2 linked regions of the Kluyveromyces lactis genome follow. The protein of the gene in region 1 purifies or fractionates together with the protein of each later gene. This does not show direct contact. Links are inferred from orthologs where the notes say so. Each region holds a gene or a part of one and is shown on either strand. Other genes may lie near its edges.

Region 1 (4,291 bases):
TTGATTTTGAGGGCTTGTGTATCGAATTTTCATAGTCATGAATAAAGTGACGTTATTTGATTCCATGTTTACTTCAAATTCCTGACTCATTTTAATAGGACCATCTTCCGGAATGGATTCCCACGGTGTTTCAATAACCTCTTTTCCATTATCAAACTCTATGCAATACTTTGCATTATGGCGTTTAATTTGTTGTAAACGAAGCGAATTGATACTCTTTAGTTTCAAGTATAGTTTGCCATGATCTTGAAGCTCCGAGGATTCAAATTCTTGAAGGGAGTTTTCTAGATAAACAGAAGCTAATGATGTCGTCGGAGCTCGCTGCAGTCCTTCATTTACTTCTGTAGTATCCCTTTCGTAGACTACGGGCGATTGAGGTGGTGTTTCAGATCGAGCTTTCACTTTGAAGGGTGATCCTACGTGCTTAATTGGCGATTTTTTTGTGGTCTCTACTGACAGATCCGATACTGATTTTTGAACATCGTATCCCTCAATTTCATTCCCGAGTAACACCTTAACATCTTGAATATGCGACCCCACTTGAACGACATCTTCGTTTTGATTGTGAAGAACTTCAGCAATCTGTTGCTGAGTTGCCTTAATATCTACATTACCAGAACTGACGTCTCGGAAATGACCCCAAGTAGTTTGAAGATTCTTCTTTGAGTTCAATCGAGATTCTTCTGCCAACTTCTCTTCAAAGTCGTCTTTATCAAAATTGTCTAAAAAGGACGAAAATACAGTTTCAGTTGATTGCGGCGGCAAAAGTGTCAAATTCTTATGGGATAAAATGTTTGTAGTGTCAACCGCCTTGTCACTTGTTCTCGAAATGTCCCCAGTAATAATTGATTCGTTGTGTATACTTGGTTCCGAACTTTCATCCAAAGCAAATTTATTAGCAAATGGATACATTTTAGCTTGTGTCTTGAGTTCTTGCTGGATACGCTTGGACATGATAGTATTTCTTCTTAGCGGATCCAACTTACTATCATCTTGTGTGCTGAGGACATACTCATCACTGAATTGTCTAAATGCTTCTTGCTTGAATACATGAGAATTCGAAATGATTCTCGATTTGAATTTAAATGAACTTCCGCTATGATTTGTCGGCACTGATGATGTACGTGATTGAGTACTAAATTGAGAATTGGTGCTCAATGCTGGAGATATAAAACTGCCCCCTGTTTTCTGTGAGTGCCAAATTGACAGATAATTCTCCTTGTGGGACGACGAAGTTAAATCAATTGACTCGTGCGAGGTCTCATGGTCATTGAATAAATCCTGGTCAAACATTGTCGAAAGTCCATTCATAGGAGGCAAAGGTGGTAGCTCGATTCGATCACTTTCTCTCGAGAAGCTACTGGTTATATCCCTTCTTCCTTCGTCTTGAAACTCAACTGACATTTCTACATGGTGCTCTGGTGCCTGTTGTGCCTGTGACACCTCTGATACGCCCAGCAACTGTCTATTCTGGCTATGTTGAGACATATTATCATTTGTAGGACTTCCACTTCTCTCCGGGTTAGAAATCAATTCTGCCTCCTCTTGTTCTATTTGTTCCATAGTATCATCCGCGATATTGACGTCTGAGTTGAACTTTGCTTTATCATGCTGTACCGTTTCCATAGAACTGGATGTCTTCATGGAAGTAGAGTCCAGTTGAAAAGTCGGAAAGCAAGGCAACTCATTCGGTTCCGGGATCTCTAAGTCCTTTACTGATGCGTCATCAGAGAGTTCTTCACATCCAACAGTTGAGGACAAATCATATTCTTTTGCCGACTGGTAGTTGTCATTTGTAGTTGCAACACTAAATATTCTTGAAGCGTTAACGCTTTGAACACTTGATGACTTATAATCCTGCAATGTTAAAGCAGGCAACTGAGGGAGTTGTGGAACTGCTTGGGCACCGCTGAGAAGATGATACCGGTCCTGAAATCTGTGCGTATTAAGTTCTTGTGCATCTTCTGTCGATGAGCCAGATGAAACCCTTGTTTCCCCGTTATTATTTACGAATCTGTTGATGCAGACGTTAGGAGTGACTGGGATCTTAGAATCAAGCAGGAGATTGGTTGCTTCTTTGGTGTCTGCTGCCGCACCATCAACATCATCTTCATCAGGAGTGTGAATTTCGACTTGAATCATGGTTGAAGATACTTCCTTCGAAGGAAAAAGTGGTTTAGTTGGCTCAATTGTGAACACCAATGGTTTATCCTTTTTTGGGTCATCTTCCATGGCTTTTTCATCGGCCATTGAGAGCATTCCTTTCAATGCAGGCAAATTTGGATTCTCAGCATATTTCTGATCTAGGAAATGAGATAATCTTTCACCTACATCGGTGACCATCTTATCCTTCAACTCTAGGCCAGTTATTTCTTCGGAAGTATAAGAAGGAATTCTGGTACTTGCATTAATATCTTCAACAGAAGTGTCTGATCCATCATTTGAGATTAATCTTTTTGAAACCACAGGTTTAGTCTGCTGATAGTTGTGTTTGATCCAAGCAGTCTCTAGAGGTGCTTTATCGAGTCCTTCTGCCATACTTATGACATCTTCTGTGTTTTCGACAGTATCGTGGTCCTCTGTGCAAGATGTTTCTTTAATTTCGGTAGTTGTATTTGCACTCTCGTCACCCAACTGGAGAGCCTCCTCCTCTGTATTTTCAATGACATTCTCACTGGCGTCAATTTTCTTTTCATTGTCCAAGGTATCCTCTTCTGGGAGTTGATCAATGCTGATATTGTCGGTGTGAGAAATCTCTTGGTCAATCTCCTTCAAAAGAGAATACATTGCATCAGGATTAAGTGCCTCGCCTTTGTCTTCCATTTGCATTGCCCAAGATGCTCAGGTATATTCGACTAAGGGACTTAAATTGACGACGAATAAAATGGAATATTACCACTTCAAAGATGTGATGAGAGTTAAGATCACTGATTTAATCGTTAAAACAATTCCCTTCAAAAAAAAAATGAGATCTAGTATAAACAAAGAAATGAAAGATGTAAACCCTACAAAATACAACAATATATTATAGTTGATGAACATATTCAATGGGCAAACAAGTAAACAATGGAAACCATTGTTGATGGGGTATGTTAAATTTCCCTGTCAATCACCTAGTGTTTGTTGACAATATCTGAATTAGGAAATACGTAAACATCAAATTAGAGGAAAAACCAAAAAAAACACAGAATTGGCAAAGGAAAACGAGATCATAATTACATAAGTATTCACGTGATTTCAAATTTTCAACTAGCAGTAATTCCGGGTAAGTAAATTCATTCTATTAATATTTTATTCTTTTCTCCAGCCACCGACCTCCGCCTCATATCCGAGGAAACTCACGTGCCGAGCTCTTACCCGGATAATCATAGTTCCTGACAATTAATTACTTTTCCATTCGCTGGCAGAGATAATCAAAGAAAGGGCGTGCAAAGACAAGTACCAAGGAAATATAAACCTTGAGCTTCAATCACCAAGCTTCTTCGCAGAGGCATACTTGCGTATTATTTTCACTGGCTCTAATTCTAAATACTCAGAGTGTGATTCGAATTGGATCATTTATTGTCCTGGTAAATCATCATTTTTTCTCTATATACGAGAAGAGCTGAAGATCACCATAATAGGGGCATAATGCGCGCTAAATTTGTGCTGCGTCGTTAATACTGAAAAGTTCCTGGGTTTTCAAACATATGTACTATATATAAAAAAAACAGTGTACTGTGGCCAGTACATTAGCAATATCCTAACTGACAGGATTTTCTAGCTTACTGCCTTGCTGTCATTCGGCGTTCTTCTATTTCCTTTATTTTATTCTGTTCGGCGTTTTCCAATAATCGAGAAAATTTCAAAATCCGATCCCCTTTTCATTCATCTTCCTTTTATTCTACCTGGCTATGGTAGTATATTTGTTCTAGTGTTTTTTCTAACTTTGTTAATATTTCATCATTGTCATACTATATTGAAATATAAAGAAGGCATTTTTAAATATTGAGAGCTGATTTGATTTGATTTGAACCAATTTAAACTTTAGAGAAGAATTGAGTTGTTTTGCTAAAAAAACCCAAACCAGTCACTCACCGAGTTAGTCAAAAGGGTATATTCACTGTGAGATTCTAGTGTAGTCGATTCAGAAGACAAAGATATACTTTTATCTAATAATTGGCTCTTACTTTCATTGACCCGACTCTAGTGTGTTTAGAAAACCGAGATATAAAACTTATCAATCAGAGCTAAAGCTAACTTTCCAAGGAACAGGTCAAAAATAGCAAATAGGTTTTTTTCCCGGCTTCTC
Region 2 (4,351 bases), on another chromosome or scaffold:
GATAAAATTGAAATTTTCTCCATGAAGAGCCGTTTGAATTCTTGCAAAGTCAATTTCGATAACAAACAGACATCGACTTTGGTTTCAGAGAACGCGTAGGTACGGAAACTTATTTCATCTTTCAATTTCTTGTGTTGACCTACGGTATACCCTTGTGATTGCAGGTTTGAGGGGTAATTACCACTGTGCACACTGGCCTCAATTTGCGCCATAAGGTTTGCTGGTCCGGCGTTCTTGATTAATTTTTCCAAGGAATTGGATTTAATCAACTGCATGTATTTTTGCAGAATATTATCTTGAAACTCAGCTTCTGTCATCGCACCTAGTACGTTGGTTTCAAGGTAGTATAGATATTCCTCAATTCTGTCTTCGATGGTATGTGGCGGTAGGTTGGACATTACCGAGATATGTATACCTAACGTGTCTGTTAAAAGCCTCAGTCCTCCAAGTACCACGTATCCGATCTGTTTCTTGTTTCGTAAATCTGGCACAAGTGTCATGGACATGAAGTATTCGAAAAGACTACTCATAGTGTAATCTACTGGGTTCGTTCTATCACCAGTCTCAATGAAATATACAACACTGTTTGTTGGATCCTCTTTGAAGCTGGTCATCTCGATGAAAAAATTGCTGCCTTGTGCCAGTTTAATTGTTTCGGGCTCTCTTAATCGGAACACCGAGGTTTGATTCACGTTTGGGCCAGACAAGTGATGAATTATACCATCCATATACTGATTCACCGTTTCAGCAATCGAGAGATCCCCCTGGATGACGAGGTTCATGTAATTAGACTTGGGGATCCATAGGTCCTTACAGAACATTTTGAAGGACTCAATGTCAATATCTTCTAACGCATCCAATCGTTCTTCCAACGTTGTTAACTCCTTCTCTAAAAGGATCAACACCCCTAATGATGCCAGCGTACATGAATTTGCTCTTGCTGCTTCCTCGTATTTAGTACGCACAAGGATTCTACTGTGTCTAAACATGCTGTTTGTAATGTCAAAATCAGGTTTGCCAATATCCACCATTTTATCCATGATTATTTGCAAGATCATGGCCACACCTTGTGGGAACCCATTTATTGTAACAGCTAATCGAACATCACCCCTATTGTTTGCAGCTATCTGATACATATATCCGACACGTTCAGAAGGGTATAAAGACTCGTTGATATAGAAATATAGTAGCTGCGTCAGAATTTCAAGATTCATGGTATTCTTGGCTGAGGGTTCCATACCCATATTGATGAGTTCTATAGTAATCACTGATCTCGAGCTATATTCTAATGAGTTTTCTTCCTTCACCCAGAGTTCGTAATTTTCGTTTTTGCTCATAAGTCGAGGTGTCGTTTGTAACAATTTAGATTGCGTTATGATAGAGAGTGCCGAGCCTTGAGATTTGCGAAGAACAGCCGTTAGAGACTGTTTCAATGCAGATAGATTCTTTTCTAGACCAAACAAAAAAGCAGTAGAGCTAGGGAGCCGGAAGTCCTTTGGCGACATCTTGACGTGATTCAATTTTATCAGGCTTAACTCATACTGAAATCTGTAATGCTCATCAAATTTAACGTTCGTTGGAACCTGCCTCGATTTAAGGAAATCATTTGATTGTAAGTCACCTAAAAAGATAAGCTTACAGTTATTCCAACTCATGTAGGTTTTTACAAATGATAGGAACTTCTTAGCTTGAGAGTTCCACCATTCTTTCGATTTTGGGCTCTCATAATAGCTACCGATATCGGAACCTTTTCGATTGCATGAGAAGGCAATACTGTTATTCAAAATAAACTGTGGGTCTTCACACTGCAGTAGTTCAGAGCACAAATCTGAACATTTATCCATAGTAGAATTATCCAGATCCTGGTACATAAATTGAAGCAAATTTATGGTATTCCATTCGTTCAAATATTGCGCTATCTCATCTGGATCTATTGATTGGAAAAAGGGCAAGAAACCCTGGAATAAATCGGTAAGTAAACTTTCTACCCCTGTCTTCCATCCACTATTAGTTAATTCAAATTGTAGCACCAATCCTTCATCGTCAATTGTAAACTTAGATAACTGTGTCACCTGTCTGGTTAATATGTTTCGAGCGCTAAACTTACTATGAATCGACCCTGAACTTTCGTCACCAAACAAATCAGACCAAACCTTGGAGAATATTTTCAGTTCAGATCTACTAAACAGGGCCTCTTGGTGAGATACTGGGAACACTAAGCGAAGTATAGGTGCTTTGGAGGACTGTATCAGTATTGAATTCGGAGTCTCTGGTTCTTGTTTACTGAACAACGGTTCTGTATATCTGGCCGCCCAGACTTTCTGCAATTTCTTGAAAGACTCAATGGAGAAAGACTGTGATTTGATAGTGGACTTGGTACGAAAGTCTCCAAAAGTAGTTTGAACCAGCTTCTTCAAATAATGCAAGGACTGTGATCCTCTAATGACTATACTGATGTTTTCTGCAACAAAATTATCCGCATAGTGTTTCTGCAGAACATTCTTTAGATTTATTATCTTACCAGCAACAATAGGAAACTGAGTCAGAGTGTAGATGTTTCCAGTGGAAAACCGACTGAACTTGGATCTTTGCGTTGCCAATTTTTTGGTACCATGATACAGAGCTTTCGAAACCAAATTCTTATTGTTCTCATGTTCATTATCTATGGCTTGGATCTCTTTGTTAATATCTGCACTTTGAAAAATTGGTGAACCCAGCTTGTCAGCAATGACACCAACCAATTCATCAAATATAGGTTTACCGGTTTTATTATTTGAATTTGGAATCTCGAAATAAAAACTCGTTTGTTCACCTGTAGTGAAAGCGTTCTGATTACCATTGTATTCAATCAATAAATCATGATAATGACTCCTTTTGGGGAATTTTTTAGACTCAGAACTTATAATCATGTGTTCGCAAAGATGAGCTAAACCTGGTACCTCATCAGGATCGTTATGGGAACCGGTTGCAACTGAAGCGCATAGCGATGCAAACGATTCACCGGGATCCGAAATCAATAATGCCGTGATTCCGTTACTTAATTGAACAAACTGGTGAGCTCTATTCGAGTTGGAAATCGGAGTATAAATGGGAACATCGATTGTTTGTACAGTAGCGGCTGTCATGTTGTGACTTTGATTTGATTACTTGCCGTATAACTGATCAGTGACACATTTTTCCGAAGTAACAAATGGTTCAGGAGTGTTATAATTATGTTACTCATATTTATACAAGGCAAAGCATCGGTTAGTAGTAATCTTGAGGCAACTACTCTGGGCAATGCTTGTTATGATAGTCTTTTTCTTCAGTATAGAGTTGAATCTCACTGTCAATACCAGAATAAGTAAGTATTTAGATGTCAGAAACAAGGAATTAAGACAAACAATAAGGAAAAAAAAAGTCTCCCGGGGGCGAGTCGAACGCCCGATCTCCAGATTACAAATTGCTTTGTGTTTTCAAATTACAGTCTGGCGCCTTAAACCAACTTGGCTACCGAGAGGAGTTACTTGAGTGACCTCGTAACTTCACCCATTATGTTCTTCTGGACAGTTTACCCCATACAGCATCAATCCCAAAGCTAATTCTCGATGCAGTAAGTAATTTGAATATCGATTATACGGTAAAATATTGGTAGTGTATACAAAATATTTGAAGTCTTTACATCCTCTCTAATTAATAGTATCGTCAATGGCCTTGTTTTCAGCCAAACCATTATTGGATTTCCCAGGTTGAATATTGTACTTGGCAGACATCACCGGGGACAAATCGTGTTTCCCGGAAGAAACTGCAACAAGAGCACCGTCTGCATCGACCATATGAGGCAAATCCTCGACCTTAGGAGCCTCATCGTATTTCTCACCTTCAACTGGACTCCCAGAAACGTATCTCTTAAATTTTTCCCACTTAGACTTGAACCCTTCCATATTCCTTGCGCTGCTTTTTATCTAGTTAATAGATAGTGTTCTTCCTAATAATCAGATGAATACAAAAGAAAATGATGTTATATCTTGGACAAAACCCCCCAAAAATCGGTTGTAACCTTACTTATATACCTACGGTAGGTTTCTCGTACTATATAATCTAACTATGGAACGGTGTACCTTTTGTCTCTTCGAGCCCTTTAATCTGATAAATCTCAATGGAGCCGTATGGCGATATCAGATTTTCATTATCTGTTCGTTCTAAGAAAGACCGACCGATAAGATAGAGGAATAGTAGCGAAAGACTGATAGAACTCGGCGAACGTCTGCCTTTTTTCCTTGGCTGTACTGGGCTGACTTTGTAAGCCGGTACGATATATGCCAGGCAAATCGCTCGAAGGAAGAGGAGTCAGCGATAATCGCTGTATGTC

What was found.
Region 2: the proteins of BUD4 (region 1) and AXL1 purify together in Saccharomyces cerevisiae (affinity purification with western blotting; 3 studies listed by BioGRID). This does not show direct contact. The link is inferred for Kluyveromyces lactis from reciprocal best matches to the Saccharomyces cerevisiae genes BUD4 and AXL1.

Annotation. Positions count from the first base shown.
Region 1 is NC_006041.1:537,681-541,971, forward strand, and holds the start of BUD4 (Bud4p), read right to left. Parts: upstream 2,830-4,291; coding exon 1-2,829. UniProt on the Saccharomyces cerevisiae protein: Required for establishment of the axial budding pattern in haploid cells.
Region 2 is NC_006040.1:1,317,959-1,322,309, reverse strand, and holds the start of AXL1 (Axl1p), read right to left. Parts: upstream 3,126-4,351; coding exon 1-3,125. Other genes in the region: KLLA0_D15576g (uncharacterized protein), read right to left, coding at 3,669-3,923. UniProt on the Saccharomyces cerevisiae protein: Probable protease. Involved in axial budding.